Linked DNA regions of Mus musculus. The protein of the gene in region 3 purifies or fractionates together with the protein of the main gene of each other region. This does not show direct contact. Links are inferred from orthologs where the notes say so. Each region holds a gene or a part of one and is shown on either strand. Other genes may lie near its edges.

The links.
Region 1: the proteins of Dis3l (region 3) and Gigyf2 purify together in Homo sapiens (affinity purification with mass spectrometry; 3 studies listed by BioGRID and IntAct, with this or other methods). This does not show direct contact. The link is inferred for Mus musculus from reciprocal best matches to the Homo sapiens genes DIS3L and GIGYF2.
Region 2: the proteins of Dis3l (region 3) and Eif4e2 purify together in Homo sapiens (affinity purification with mass spectrometry; 3 studies listed by BioGRID and IntAct, with this or other methods). This does not show direct contact. The link is inferred for Mus musculus from reciprocal best matches to the Homo sapiens genes DIS3L and EIF4E2.

What each region holds. Positions count from the first base shown.
Region 1 is NC_000067.6:87,325,327-87,330,572, reverse strand, and holds the start of Gigyf2 (GRB10-interacting GYF protein 2), read right to left. Parts: upstream 3,576-5,246; 5' UTR 3,481-3,575; exon of another isoform or gene 3,466-3,480; intron 1-3,465. UniProt on the Homo sapiens protein: Key component of the 4EHP-GYF2 complex, a multiprotein complex that acts as a repressor of translation initiation. In the 4EHP-GYF2 complex, acts as a factor that bridges EIF4E2 to ZFP36/TTP, linking translation repression with mRNA decay.
Region 2 is NC_000067.6:87,211,903-87,217,060, reverse strand, and holds the start of Eif4e2 (eukaryotic translation initiation factor 4E type 2), read right to left. Parts: upstream 3,148-5,158; 5' UTR 3,062-3,147; coding exon 3,042-3,061; exon of another isoform or gene 2,571-3,041; coding exon of another isoform or gene 2,566-2,570; intron 1-2,565. UniProt on the Homo sapiens protein: Recognizes and binds the 7-methylguanosine-containing mRNA cap during an early step in the initiation. Acts as a repressor of translation initiation.
Region 3 is NC_000075.6:64,337,918-64,343,067, forward strand, and holds the start of Dis3l (DIS3-like exonuclease 1), read right to left. Parts: upstream 3,341-5,150; 5' UTR 3,215-3,340; coding exon 3,076-3,214; intron 3,034-3,075; exon of another isoform or gene 2,964-3,033; intron 2,857-2,963; exon of another isoform or gene 2,631-2,856; intron 2,541-2,630; exon of another isoform or gene 2,372-2,540; intron 1,716-2,371; coding exon 1,562-1,715; intron 1-1,561. UniProt on the Homo sapiens protein: Catalytic component of the RNA exosome complex which has 3'->5' exoribonuclease activity and participates in a multitude of cellular RNA processing and degradation events.

The DNA.
Region 1 (5,246 bases), on a different chromosome or scaffold from region 3:
AAGCTCCAATCACACTCTGCCTTGGAATTCCTATCTTCACATGACTTTGAAGCAAGTCTACTATTATTTTTCATACAGTCAATCTATCAGCAAAATAAAGCTCCGAAAGTCAAAATACTAAAATTTATCAGGTAAGTTAAAATAAAAAGTTATTAAATTGTCCATTTATGAATATGAAAATACGCTGGAAGGCCCTCAGAAAAAAGTCCCCAGCCTACTAAGCAACAAATTAATTTGAAATCTAGCTTATAAGGTAAAAAAAGAAAAATAGAAAACATTCTACACAAGCAAAATGATAAAAGGGATCTCCACAGAAATTAGGAGAGCCCATTAGAACTAGGCTGGACTGTATAGAAGTAAAAGAAACTCTTCACTAACCAACTGTGGATAACCTGGGTTAATATACTGATTCATTTGATTATACTCCTTAATCACCAGTGCCTGAGAACAGTTCCTCACTTCCAAATATTCTGAAATTTCTATTCTTTTTTTTGTTTAGGCAGTACTGGGGATTCAACCTGGTCATCAGGCATGCTAGGCAAGTGATCTAAGCCTAAGCTATATTCCTAGCTCTTCTGAATCTTAGTTACCACGTTACCAGGTAGTCCCTGAGTTTGCAAAATGTCCTAGTCAATCATGAAGCTGGGATATCCTTCTTTAAAAGCCATTTCTTGCCAGGCAGTGTTGGTAAACATCTTTAATCACAGTGCTCAGGAGGAAGAGGCTAGCCTGGTCTAGAACAAGTTCCAGGACAGCCAAGGCTACATCAAGAAGCCCTGTCTGGAAAAATCAAAAACAAAAAAACAAAACCAACAAAACAAAAAGCCATTCCTTTTAAAAAGCATTTCCAGGCAGTCTAACACCAATCACATCTAAAAACTTACTTTTAAGAAATCCATTATAATTCCTGAAATAGATGAACATCCCGAGTTTTCCAAATGAACGGGAAAGGAGGGATCTTGGCTCAAGTCTATAAAACCTGATTTTCTTAAGACTTTTCCATAGATCTCAGAAACTGGGGAGACTGAGGTAAGAGAAGGGCAATTTCAGGTCAGCCTGGATTGCTCGCACACACACTCCAGCTGGGCATGGTAGTGCACGCCTTTGATCCCAGCACTTGGGAGGCAGAGGCAGGCAGATTTCTGAGTTCAAGGCCAGCCTGGTCTACAGAGTGAGTTCCAGGACAGCCAGGACTACACAGAGAAACCCTGTCTTGGAAACACCCCACCCCATCCCACCCAAAAAAAAAAAAAGACTCCAGAGCAGTGAATGGTCCACCTCATCTTCCTGCCAAAGAGGTGGGTAAATACATCTGATCAGTTTCTTTCAGTCTCCCCAGACTAGTTAGCCTCAGTCCTCTTCCTAGCAAGCCTTAGATAGGTCCCACCTAAGTTTTATCTTCTCATCTCAGGATCTTTGCCCTCTTTTCCTCTTGGTGAAGGACCCTGCCCTCTACCTATCAGGTGTTTCCTCAAATTTTAGCTTACCTGTAAAGTCTCCTCACAGGACTAAATTTAAAAATTAACCCTTCCCACAATTGTTATCCAGTCCCCCTATCTCTCTTCTTTTTCTTTTTCCCGTTACTCCTACATAAACAGATGGTCCCTACACAGAAATGTTCAACTTAACAAGAGTTTGCACTCTACTATGAGGTAAAAACAATATGGACTCAGTAGAAATCATTCTTCATATTTCTAATTATGATTTCTTCCTGAGTTAACAATATGTATGTAGTACAATACTCCCTGGCATTGCTGGCTAGGACCAGAGAGTCACAAAATCACATAAAATCTAACCATACAAGCGGGAGATGATCAAGATTCTATAGGAGGCTTTGCTGTTATTAATGGGCAGCAGACTGATAGCTTTAAATGCAATTTCAGCTTACATACTTCAACTTTCAATCAATTTAAGGGACACAGCCCAATCATCACATCAAGAAGTATTTGTATATTTTTACTTAAGTATTTAGATGTCCAGAAGTGAGCGCAACACAAACAGAAATGTTTGTCCCTCAGCATTCACACTACATACTGTAGTACTTGTAGTCAAACAGAAAAGAAAGGAAAAGACAAGAATGGCAGCATACAGTACATAATCTCTTCTTCCCCAGCCACAAAACTCTAAATCCTTTGTCAAGTACCAAAAAAGGTATGGTCTTTTTCTTTCTAGCAAATCACCAACATCTTCAACGTTGGTATTTTTCCAGACATATGTCACTTCTAAATGTTTTCCTAGTGTCTTCTTATGTGACAGTGAAGTACATATCCCAGTCTAGGCAATCTAAAAGCTGCTACATTAGGGAAATATCATTAAATGAAGACAAAGTATATGTTCTAACCAAAAGGAAAAATTCTGCCAGTCAGAGCCACAAAAAAGGATGAAAACTCATGTACAAAAAGTAGGATAATAGTTTTTGTAATTTAGGAAGTCATTTGTTACTAAAGAGGAGTAACTACATAAGGAAGACTACAATCCCTGTATACAACACTCTGAAACATAATTACCTATAATTCAAGGTAGATGGGACTAGGTGGGAAGCCATCACTGATTGAGTCCCTTCATTTCTTAAGTTATGTTGGAATACTTACCTTCCTAATAGAACCACTAGGTGTGTTTAAGTGCTTTGACTTTCGAGAAAACTGGAGGTGAGGGGAGACCGTACTAGATAAATGCAAAGCAACGTTACTGCTTCCCAAACGCGGTCACACAATCAGCTCCTTTCACACCCTTCCTTACTTGCTGGCTTGATTTATATTTCAGCTACAAAACCAAAGTGTTCAAGAGTGCTTCGTGGGAAACTGCTTGCCCATTTCAAGCCGGTATGAACATTCGGGTCCCCGGGGCTGCCCGGGGCTCTACTTTCCCAAGCCTCTCAGTCCCAGGATCAGATCATGACTCCACCTTGCCTGGGGCCTGCTCAAGACCAGTCCTCCAGCCCTAGAAGCAGTCTTCCCCAGTCCAGATGCTCGGTGGAGAAGGCAAGGGCGCACCTCCCTGGGGCAGGTGCGGGCAGGAGCGCCGGCAGGAGCAGCTGTCGGCTCGCAGCAGCTGTTAGCCGGGGTACCCCGAGGCTGTGCGGGCGACCAGCCCCGAGGAGCGGGCAGCGGAAGGCGAACCCTCCGGCCTGACACTGCCCACCCCGCCTCCCGCCTCCTCTCCTCGGCTTCCCCCGCGATGCCACGGGGGCGAAAGCAGGGGGCTGCCCTCGGCCGGGACGCTCCCTGGACTGCCGGGACCCTCGCACGGGAGGAGGCTCCTGCTGACCTCGCACCTGCCCTGTCCCCAGGTCTGACGCCCCCAGCCGGCAGCGGCCGTGGCCGCTGCCGGGCAGCCTGAGTGTGTCCATGCGGCCGGCTCGGGCCGGAGCGGCGGGGACGCGACGGTGGGCGCCGGGCCACGGCAGCTCGGGGCGCTATGGCGGGGACTGGGCGCGGGATGGCCGCGGGCAGGGGAGACACACACCGAGCCACTGGTTACCTGCGGTCCGGGACAGGAGTCTCTCAGAACCCAAGTCAATCCTCAGCCTCAACAACACAAGATGGCCGACACGTCGCCACGCACGTCACGTGACCCCGCGCGCCGCGCCGCCCCCCGCCCCGCCTACATCCCCGCCTCACTCCCTCCCTGCTCTCCAGCTTCCCACGACATCGTTCCCTTCCTCGACGGCCTGCCCCTCCCCTCGGACACGCCCCTCCCTGAGACCCGGATGCAGGGCCGGGCGAGGACGGAGCCTGAGTAGCGCAGGCGCACAGTGGGGCCTTTGGCTGCATCTCCTATGGCCCTAGAGTTGAACTGGTGTCCCTAATTGGAGCCTGGCCAGAGGCCCTATGACTCACCGTCCGATGCACCCAATCCAGTGCCCGGTTGCAGTACAAAAATCTCCACATCATTTATGAGCTGGTTTTCCAAGCTAGAACTTTTCCACAGCATTTGGTCTAGCATTTTCCTGCCAGTTGGTCCATCATGGGGCAAATGGTAAAGCTGAAATTCAAAGCAGTTTCCTTTCTTATAGAACTGGAAATTCATCCTGGAGTACTGGAATGTGACAGCTGGGAAGGTTTTAAAAGTTCCTACACCTAGCCAGGCAGTGGTGGCTCACACCTTTAATCCCAGCACTTGGGAGGCAGAGGCAGATCGATTTCTGAGTTCAAGGTCAGCCTGATCTACAGAGTTCCAGGACAGCCAGGGCTATACAGAGAAACCGTGTCTCGAAAAACTAAAAAAAAGTTACTACACCCTTCCACTACATGTGGACCTACAACCCCCTTATATATACTGCCTTCCCATTTTAGGGTTGCGAGATAACGAATAGTAAACCCGGCAATACAGAATACAGGAAATTAATCTGCTGTCTTTCTGAAACTCATGTTTAGCTGGACATACTATATACTTTGATTTGCTAAACCTGGTACATCTACCATTTCAAGTCACCCGGGTCTTTCTGGGACCATTAGTCTTTTCCTGCCTTTCTACTACCTTTGGTGTTTGGGATCCACTCAGTTTCACACAATCACTGCAAAATATCCTCCAGCATTTATCATAGGTCTTCCCATCAACATAAACTTAAGTTTCAGAACACAGTGGCAGACTCCCAACCTAGTCGTTTGGGAGCCCTGGATTCAACACTTGGAAAAAAAATACACACACACACACACACATACATACATACATATATATATATATATATATATATATATACCAACTTCCTCCTCTGCCTCCCTTCCTGAGTCTTGATTCCCTTTCAAAGAGAGACTGTATAAAAGAGCATTAAATTCAGAGAATGATCATTAATCTTGACTGTGATCATTAATCTTGACTGTCAACATGATGGGATTTGGATTCATCATGGAAACAAATATCTGAGCAAATTTATGAGAGATTATCTAGATTATGTTATTTGATGTGGGGAAACCCGAGAGTAGGTAAAGTGGAAAATACCATTCCATTCCATAAGCTAGAATTCTATAGTGTATAAGACCTAAGTGAAAAAGCTACACAGAAACATTCAAAGGTTCCATCAGTCTCAACTTCCTGACCTTGGAAGCAATGTGACTACTCCCAAGGTGGACCATACTCTTGAATTGTGAACCAAAATAAGGCCTTTGCCTCTTAAGCAAATTCTTTTGGGGTATTTTATTACAGCAACAGGAAAGGTAGCTAATACATGGGGAGAGAACAAAGGAAAAGGAAAATATGGATGACACCAGATAAGTTCAGCAGCATGAAAGTCTGAAGGGCCCATT
Region 2 (5,158 bases), on a different chromosome or scaffold from region 3:
TATCTCTAGCAACACACACGAACATAAAACAAACATGTTTAAGGGATGGATCTCCAAACATCAAATTAGGTAGTTTAGAAACACTTAAAAATAGGCCAAAAGCTAATGACAGAAAGAGAACCATATAAAATAGGAACCAAATCAAGGCTGGCCTTCCAAAACCCAGGACCTGAAAACCAAGTTTATCACAGTTGGGGCTGTACTTCTTGAGAGGGCATCTTAGAGTTTCACATGTTAATAACATGAAAGGCAATGAGACCTTACCACTTGTTGAGTCTAATGACCACCCTTTAAAGCTATTAGCAGCTTTGGTCACACTTAGAGGCAGAGCCCACATATTAAAGGAGGTTAGAGGGCCTCTTTAATCTGTGTCCATCAGATCATACTACTGCACTCACTGGAGACTACGCTTTGAGAATGATTCTGGAAAATTCTGGGGAGATGTTATAAAGAGTACAGACTCCAAATAAGGAGCAACATTCTACAAACTGCAGGGTTTTCACAAGAAAATCTGAAATGACAAAACCAAAACCAGGGACAAGGGTACCATTTTAATTGCTAATTTCAAATAAAAGCAAGCTTTTATTTTTGTCCTTTATTGCAAAGTTAGAAGACAGGTGGGGTTGAAGAGATAACTCAACAGTTAAAAGTACTAACCGCTCTTCCAAGTCCTAAGTTCAATGTGAGCAATCACATGGTAGCTCACAACCATGTGTAATGAGATCTAATGGCCTCTTCTGGTATGTCTGAGGACAGTGACAGTGTCTCATATACAAAATAAATAATTGAAAAAAAGAAGAAGAAGGAGGAAGAGGGCATTAAAAGACCCTACTCTTTACAACAGCTCATAGTTATAAACAATTAAACCACCCAGCAAATGTTGATAAAGACACTTGAACAAAGTAGAAGAGTGAGCCTGAGCTGGCCCTTTAGGCTATCTTGCACTAGTTACTTAACCTTGAAAAGCCTCATTTTCCTTAACTATCAGAAAACATGCCAAGATCTCTTTTGCAGAGTTATTAGGAAGAAGCTAGTGGGAAATAGAGAGGAATATAATACATGCAATAGGGACTTGGGGGACAGCTAGAAGAAAAAAAGCGAGCTAGAGAGGGACCACAGCGAGTCCAGTGGGGGCAGGGAAGAAGGAGAACAAAGTAATGGCCTGAGTATGAAGGTGTCCTAATAGAACCTGCTACTTTCTATGCTAACCTAAAAAGTTAGGAAACAAATCCACAGGGATGCCTCTGGGTGGCTGCAGTGGCTAGACTAAGAATGACCACCATAGGCTCATATATTTGAATGCTTAGTCACCAGGGAGCAGAACTGCTAGGAAGGATTAGGAGGTGTGTGGCCTTGTTAGTTAAATAAATAAGTAAAAAAGAAAAAGAAAAAACTTGTCATAAGAGTTGCCCGGCCGGGCAGTGGTGACACACACCTTTAATCCCAGCACTCGGGAGGCAGAGGCAGGCGGATTTCTCTGAGTTCAAGGCCAGCCTGGTCTACAGAGTGAGTTCCAGGACAGCCAGGGCTACACAGAGAAACCCTGTCTCAGACCCCACCCCCACCCCCCAAAAACAACAACAACAAAAAAACAGTTGCCTGGTCATGGCATCTCTTCAACAGCAACAGAACAGTGACGACGACAGTGGCCAACATAACCATCCTTATTCAAGACAGGCAACCTAAAAACTATCTTCTTAGGATGCAGTTTGATTTGTTCCAATAGGAGAAGAAGGGAGGAAGGGCTGCAGGTATGAAGCTAGGTATTGCAGGGCCTATGACAGGAGACCAATGGATCTCTATCCTGCTGGACTCTGCTAATAAGCAAGGTGGAGAAGACATCAGGTCTTTTCTCAAGAAGCAGAGCTCACTCAGCCACCATGAAAACCTAAGGAAGAGCTGGCTGTACAACTGGAATCCCCATCCCAGTACTTCCTGAGTCTGCACCTCTGAACTCACTGTATTGAAAACCTGCAGCTTCACCACCTATCAGTGAGTCCACTTTCCCTTCACAGCTCATGCTCAGCATTTTACACAGTACCTCTAAGTATTGCAGAGCGTGATGTGGTCCTTCCGGTCCTAACCACTACAGAGGTGAGATCGATGGCTCAGACTGGAGGACTTTTGTACTGTCAAACAGCTGGTGGGCTTAAAACTAAAAATGTAGGCCTTTGAATGATAAACCAGATTTGATCACTACAAACCATAGAGAGGAGGGAGCACTGCAATCTACCCAGGGATACAATTCTTGTGAAACACTAACTTAAGTGGGGCTAGATGAAAACGAAAATTACTTTTAAATGCTAAAAGATTTAATCGTTAGGAGGGGAATGTTCTCACCCCCCCATCCCCCACCCCAACACATATTTCTTCTCTGTACTTCCCAACTGTTCGCTGCGGGAATTGGAGATGAATGCAGGGGTGGGCAGCCACTAAGAGTTGAAAGACAGGGACGGGGTGGGGGATGAAGGGAGGGTGGTGGTCGGGGAGGAAGCAGGAAGAATCTCAGATGAAAAGCATTCCGTACTCGAGAGGCCACAGTACTCAGCGCGGCTGCCCCATTACCTCATCGCAGCTGCCCAACTCTACGACACGGGCTCTGTTACCGTCCCCGCTTGCAGAAGACAAAATCGAGGCTCGGAAGGGAGAGGTGACCTTCCCAGGACGCCGAGCGAGTGCGGGAGGGAAGCCGCGTTCAGAGAGAAGGCAGCAAGGCTGCGGAAACACCCGAAGCGCTGAGGTCCCGCCCCTCCACGCCGCCGGCAGCCCGCACCCACCAGGGCGGGGCGTCCGAAAATCTCCTTCCGGGCGGCGCGGCCTCCCCTCCCCCGGCCCGTGCCGCGCCGGGGTCCAGCGGCTCAGGGGTCCCGGCGACCTCGGCCGCGCTCTCCCGGCCCCGTCGGGCCCGCGGGCGCAGGAAGGCTCGGGCTGCGGCGGCCCGGGAGCGAGCGGCTCGGCTGAGGGCGCGCCCGGCCCCGGCGGGAGCGGTCCCGGGGGACGGTTGGGGGAAGGGGCCCCGGGGTCGGCCACGCGCCACTCACGCGTCGAACTTGTTGTTCATCCTCTTGCCGCCGCTGTCGCCACTGCCTCACGGAGTGACTTCCGCTCTACCGGGTCCCATCGCTAAGGGCCCGGCTACTTCCGGTTGGCTGGCGAGGCGCTCAGCGGAACGTCAGTGCTCAGGCCTTGGGCGGGGCCTCTTTCCCGGACGGGTGGCCCGGGACGACAGCGCTTGTTCCGACCGGGGCTGTCTTGGTGTGGCTGCTTGCACTGAGCATTGTCTACGCAGGCTGCCGGCCATCCACTTTAACCTCCCCGTGGATTCCAGGGGGAAAATGTCAGGCATAGTAACCTTTAGTAAATGGTATTCTCTGGCAGTTGATCCTTTGCTCTTGGTGTTTGGAGAGGACGAGAGAGCACTACAAACAAACTTGCAATTCTGGCTCTTGGGAAATGGCAGCAGGAAGATCCAGACCTGCCTAACCAACATAGTGAGTTCGAGGACAGCCTGGGATACATTAAGACCTTCCCTATATATTGGGTGAAGTGGGGGGTGGGGGGAGTCGAACCAGGGTGACAAACTTACTGAGGACCGAGATGGTCTCACTCATCATTGCCTCCTCAACTGAAGTCATTGTCCCCACACTCCTAAGGACTGTCCAAAACCACATCACATACACAGGAATAAATTCCCTAGTTGGTGATGTAACTCCAGAGCTATGAGGCACGCATTTTCCTGACCCATCTGCTGAACATATTACATTGTTAGATGTTTATTTTTAATCACCAGAGAGGAGGGGTAGAAATTGATGTTCGTGCCTGTATTTACAGGTGAGGAAAGTGTCCCAGGACTGGCCCGTGGTTGTCCCCTGGTCACTCAGCAAGGTCACGCTTTTTCTCCTCAGGAAGACCTCAGGGGATCATCCTATTGCCTGGCATGTAAGGGAGGCTGAGGAAGCTCTCCTGTCACACCCAGCCCAGTGGCTTTGGGCCTAGCCTTGCAAGTACTCTGGCTTTTGAGAAGAGAGAGGACGAAAGGAATTTGCAGGGCTAGGAGTCTTTCTTACAGTGTCTGAGATTGGATCAGAGATGGAAATTTGAACCCTATAAAGGAGTGTTCTAGAGAGTTCCTCTTACTCTGGACCCCAGCTTGCTCATGTGAAATGTGGGTCAGGTGAACAGGGCCTTTTTTTTTTTTTTCCGAGACACGGTTTCTCTGTGTAGCCCTGGCTGTCCTGGAACTCACTCTGTAGACCAGGCTGGCCTCGAACTCAGAAATTCACCTGCCTCTGCCTCCCAAGTGCTGGGATTAAAGGCGTGTGCCACCACTGCCTGGCTTTGTTTGTTTTTTATTTTATTTTATTTTATTTTATTTTGAACAGTGCCTCTTGACTATCCATACTGTGAAGAATTTCTAACAATGGGGGGGGGGGAGATAGTAAAACTCAAGAAATCCTTTGTGATCAGTGGGGGTGGGAGGAAGTATTACATTAGACGAATGGGACGTACTGCTGAAGGTACACATTTGTGCTGTGGCATCTAGAAGAACCTTGCTAGTTAAAATGGGTTACACTTTTAAAAATTCTAGACCTCATAAAAGCCAAGACTCTGTACTTAGATCCCACACCCCTATCTCCATAAAAAAAAGGCTTTTTTTTTTCTATCTTGTGTATATGGGTGTTCTGTCTGTGCATATGTCTGCACTATATGCATGGGCGTTTTGCAAAGCCAGAGGAGGGTGTTGGATCGCCTGCAACTGGAGTAACAGATGCTACATGGGTGCTGGAAACCAACCCAGATCCCCGGGAAAGTAGCCAGTGTTCCTAACCACTGAACTATCTCCACCCTCACCCCCATCCTTTTTTGAGACAGGATCTCACCATGTACACTGACCTCAAACAGATGGATTTGTCTCTGCCTCCCTAGTGCTAGGACTAAAGGCCCCACCACGTCCAGTTCATGTTCTCTGCAGTTAAGAGAGTTCCCCACATCCCTTACGAACCTTCTAGAGAAAGTTCACATAGGGAAGATGTTGGAGCTGGGAAAACAGCTCAGTGGTTAAGAACACTTGCTGCTTTTATAGAGGACATGAGCAACCCACTGTCTGGTTGCTCATGACCACCTATAACTCCAACTCTAGGGTTCTGACATCCTCTGC
Region 3 (5,150 bases):
CCAATACAATTATGCATGTTTGTTTGTGAAGACAGAGTCTCATGTAGTCTGTACTGGCTTCAAGCTTTCTGTATAGCTGAGACTTACATAGAACTCCTGAACCTTCTACTTTACAGTTGTTGGGATCACAGGTACCTGCCACCAGGCCTGGCTCCTGGGTATCAGGAGAACATTTTCTGCTAGAAACAGGGCTGATATCGTTGCATTTGAGTAAGCCTGTATCCTGGCACTTGGTTTACCTTAAAGCCACCAACAGTACAGTGCAAGCTGACAAAGTGCTCCTCTAATGAAAAATCAGAAAGGTGGGGCCTACTTGCCAATTCTTCACCTTTTGCTTTCCCTGTAGACACAGAAAAGCACAGCGAAACCCAAGAGCAGGAGCTCTTCATCAACTTAACTACTGAAACCTTCAGGAGAAAGGACATTTAAATTCCAACTCTTTGCTTTCGGTTGTCCCAGGAATTGGTTTTCAAAACAATCCTAATATTAAAAACATTTTAGAAAACAGAGGTTGAAGAGGCTTGCTGTGTGTGAGCGAGCTGAATGGTAACAACAAATTGATTTTAGTAAAAGAAATTGAAATACGACACCTGCAGCAGTGTTTAAACCTGGCTGTGTGTAAACATCTATATGTCTGTGTCTGAATAAAATCAACTTCAAGCTCATTTTAAAATATTCAATTTGAAAAAAAAACCCACGTACATTCTAGCTAATGTATATTTCTCTGAACTAAGCATCAGGACAATTTATCATTTTCATACACAAATAAAGAAAACTTTACCTTTTACTACCAAAAGCTGAAGAAACCAAAACATCTTAAAAACAGAATAAATCCAGTTTCTGCTTGTTAAATACCTTGGGGTGTTGAGGGTTTGGGTATATAATTCTAACATGCTATTCTCATAAAAGTTTCCAAATATTAAATGAAGCAAAACTGTATTCTAAGAAATTTGCACAGAAAGGGGCAATTATTCTTTCATTTAGGTGCAAGGTGAGTATTTTAAACTGGTCCAATTAGAAATGTTTTATTCAGCAAATACAATTACTATGGCTGATAGTTACAGGACTAATCTAAAAATCAGAAAGAGCTATTTTTAATTTCGTTGAATAAATCACGGTAAGTACAGTTTGCTTCTACAATAGAGGAAGATAAGATTTAAAAGTATTCTTTTCCAAAGAAAGGAATGCTCCTGAAACAATGTACCTATGAATAAGATTAAATACTATATATTATTAGCAAAAATAAAAGGAAGAAATAATAGTGCTACCTATGAAAATGTAAACCAGAAGCCAGTTCACCATAGAATCTTAACTATGTACATCCCGGGGACCCAGCAGTTTATTGATCTACAGTCAGATCTTTTGGCCAGGTGTTGAAGCACACATATAAAATGTTACTACATTCCTCACCAGCAAAGAGAATACCAAATTAGTTTCAAAAATCCTTTCTGACAAAATAATGAATTCCTCCTCTTTCCCTCTAACAAGGGACCTTTTCTAAAGGGGGCAGGGGAACCGGTACTGAAAATAAATAAATAAATAAATAATGCAAAACAGATACCTCCGGCCTCTCTGGTGCTGCACAGCTTGACAGGCCGTTTGCATGAAAATAACTCCCTTCAACTCCGGGAACTCCAGAACCTCGAGGTAATCCTGGACAACTTTCCAGTCTGGGATCACGTAATGAGTGACTTCGGCAGCCAGGAGCTTCCCATCTGAAACATAATTCAGAGTGGAAGCCATTAGGTAACATTTTCAAACCTGGTTTATGACTATTTCAATGTCACAGTGCTCCCGGTGTGCAAAATAACTTCTCATCTTAATTTCACCTTGAAGTTTTTAAAAGACAAGACAAATCTACTTTGGTGGAGGCTCAAAGTTCAGCTCCATTGCTCCCCCTCCCCTCAGCTGTGATTAAATACAAGCCCAACATGGTTTATGTTGTAGCCAGCACTTCTTCGAAAGAATGATATTTTAAAAACAAGTACGTCCCTGGAAGAAACTAAATTTCTACTAAGCCATCACAGACATGCATGAGCACTGACTGCGTTGGCTACTTACATATCCATTATATCTCTATCTACATATACACACGTGTATATATATGTAAGGGCAAGAGTGCACATGTGTGTGTGTGTTGACCCCTTGTAAGCATCTAACAATTCCAAGGCTATTCGGTCTGAAGCTTCCTAACACGGCTACACGGTTCTAGGGTTGAGGAGAACGTCCTAAAAAGGATGCGCTGTTCAATCAATGGGCTTCCACTCAACTGACACCTTGGTCAAGCTGTGACCTCAATCATGTATTCTGAAAAGACCCCCTCACGCTCATCTCCCACTAGGGGTAACAAACAGCTGGAGGGTCTGCGTACTGGCAGGAGCAGAGCAGGCAATGTCAAATGTCCAGCCAGCGTAATACGCTCAGGAGTAAGGTGCCAATAGCATTTTCGGGCAGAAAGGAGGAGGTGCCTACGCCCTTAGGTCCCCCTGGAAAAACCGAAGCATCCGGTGCCTGCAGGCTCTTCCACTTAGCCCGGCTATTGTAGCAGGCAGGTCCGGAGAGGAGCGCCCCTGAGGCTGCAGAGGCCGGTCCTGCCTGTGCCGGCCACTGGGAGGGAAGACTGGACGCACCGGGGACGCTCCAGGGCCGCTCCCGGCTGCCCCAGTACCGCCGAGCCCAGACGGTTATGCTCGCTCCGGCTGCCTACAGTCCGCGAGGGTCTGGCTCCGCCCTTGATGCCAGCGCTAAGCCGCCCTCGCTGCTCAGCTTCCCGCTCTCCTCTCTCCTTGGGTCCCGCTTCCTTCACTAGGGCCCCGCCGCCATCGCGACGCCAGGCCGGGATTCCCTTTGCTCTTTGGGCCTCTGCCACCCTCGCTCCTCAGGCCTCAGGTCCCTTCGCTCGCGCCCGGCAGCCTTCGCTACGTCAGGCCCCGGCCTCCCTCGTTCCTTTGGTCCTGGCTTCCCTCGTTCTCCGAGTCCCGGCTTCTCTCGCTCTCCGAGCCCCGGCTTCCCTCTCCGGCTCCGGCCTCCCTCGCTCTTCCCGCCCGGGCCTTCCCGGTCCACCCCGGCTCTGACCGTTGCGGCAGGCGGCAGGCTGCGGGCACAGCGGGCTGTTGCAAGGCACGCTGGGCCGCAGGTAGTGTTCACGCACGATCCGCAGCGTCCGACCCTGGAAGGTCCTCAGCAGCAGCACCTTCTCCCGCTTCTGCAGCATGCTGGCGGCGTCGCCCGGCACTGTGGCCGGGAAGCGGCGGGCGGCGGGCGGCAGGCGGCAGGCTCAGGCGAGACCGAGGCCTGAGGCCCGCCCCTCGGGCCTGGTCGGGCAGGCAGCAGCGTTCACGTTCCCGCTACCGCTACCGGGAGCGACCTAGCCAGGGCTGAGAATCCTCCGGGCCCAGTCCTACTCGCGCCTTTTATTCCTCTCTGTGCCTTAGTTGTCCCCGGGCGGGAAAAGTGTAGATAAACTTCACCCGAAGAATCCTCGGGTGTGAAGGTAGGATGTGGCAGGTAGTCTAAGAGTCGAGTGTAAAAGGATTATTATTTTTATTTTTATTATTATTTTTTTTACTTTGTTTCTACCCACAGGCCCGTGTGCGAAGGGCTGCCATAGCAACAGAGGTAATGCCGGGCAGTGATGGCTCATGCCTTTAATCCCAGCACTTGGGAGGCAGAGGCAGGTGGATTTCTGAGTTCAAGGCCAGCCCGGTCTACAGAGTGAGTTCTAGGACAGCCAGGGCTACACAGAGAAACCCTGTCTCGAAAAACCAAAACAAAAAACAAACAAAAAACAAAACAAAAACCAGAGGTAATAACTGTAGAGTTTTCTCGTCCTTGTTTTTGCAGTATCTGAAAGAATTGAAAAGCTCAGCAAAAAAGCTGGTAACCCTGCTGGCCAAACCGGTTTTCCTCTTCAAAAATATGCTTATTTTAAATTTTAATACACGTAAACATTCAAACACTACAGATAAAATGAAAACCAGTCCTTCTGGGGTAAACACTCTACAACTTTTATAGCGCTGGCAGCCTCGGGCAAAGGACTTCTTAGAGCCGCTATTGACATGATCTCTAAGTACTGTGCTTGTAGTGTTTGACAAAAAGGACGGTATCTTGGGAGACCACACACCCTGGATTCTCCAAGCACTGAGCCCACTGGAGCAAGAGTATCATTTAGCTTCCTTAAATCAAAGGAGTGGGTGTTTATTTGTATCATTTTATAGGCTGTGAGGCTGCATTAAGGGAGCTTAAGTGCCCAAGGATACCTAGTTATTATGTTTCAGAACCAATCTTGAAGCTAGAAACTGCTCAACTTCAAAGCAGGTTAAGCATCATCTAGTCACTGGTGAATAAAAGAGAGAGCGCCTGCACCAAAGGAATTTACTGCTTGGCAACCTTTGGTTAATGTGGCTGGCCCAGTTGGCTGGAAACACCTGGTTCTTCCAACGCAGCTGAAATAAACCAGGACCAGTCTCTCATTTCACCCTAAGGGAATGCTAAAGGGTCATGGTCTCCTCCTCCTCCTCATATCTCTGTGTCAAATCACTTGGTGAAACTCAAGGTAGACTTGCACAAACAGGAAAATAATGTAGAGCTGGCAAACAGGCACCAGACAGTGCAAGGAGAGTCCCTAAAGCTCTCCACAGTGAAAGAGGCTCTCCCTGTCTAATACAGGAGTCAGTTCCAGAGAGACCAGAGGACAGTGAGTAGCCAAAATTGTTCTCTACATAAAAAATGCCTTAGATAACTGTCCACCAATCCCTCCCCAGCTCCCTTCCTATCTTTTTTAAGCCACTGATGCTATGGATTGGAAGAACGACTTTGATTAGGTACTAATCTGCCCTTAATATCTCTCCTCAGCACTTTGTAGCTAGAAATTGTCTGCAAATGAACCACCCTTTAAGGAATAGAGCATAGCTAGAGTTTTATTGAGAGTTGATTTTTATCAGTATTTAAAATAAGGCTGTAGCTTAGTTGGTACTTAGCCTCTCTTCCCCTCACACCCTCTCCTTTCTCTCTCTGCCTTTTTGAGACAGGATCAGGACATGTAGCTGAAGCTAGCCATGAGCTCTTACTTACCCCCCCCCCCCCAAGTGCTGGGATTCTCATGCACCCAGGCCTGGCTTTATCCATTATGTTGAGGACCATGATTCCTT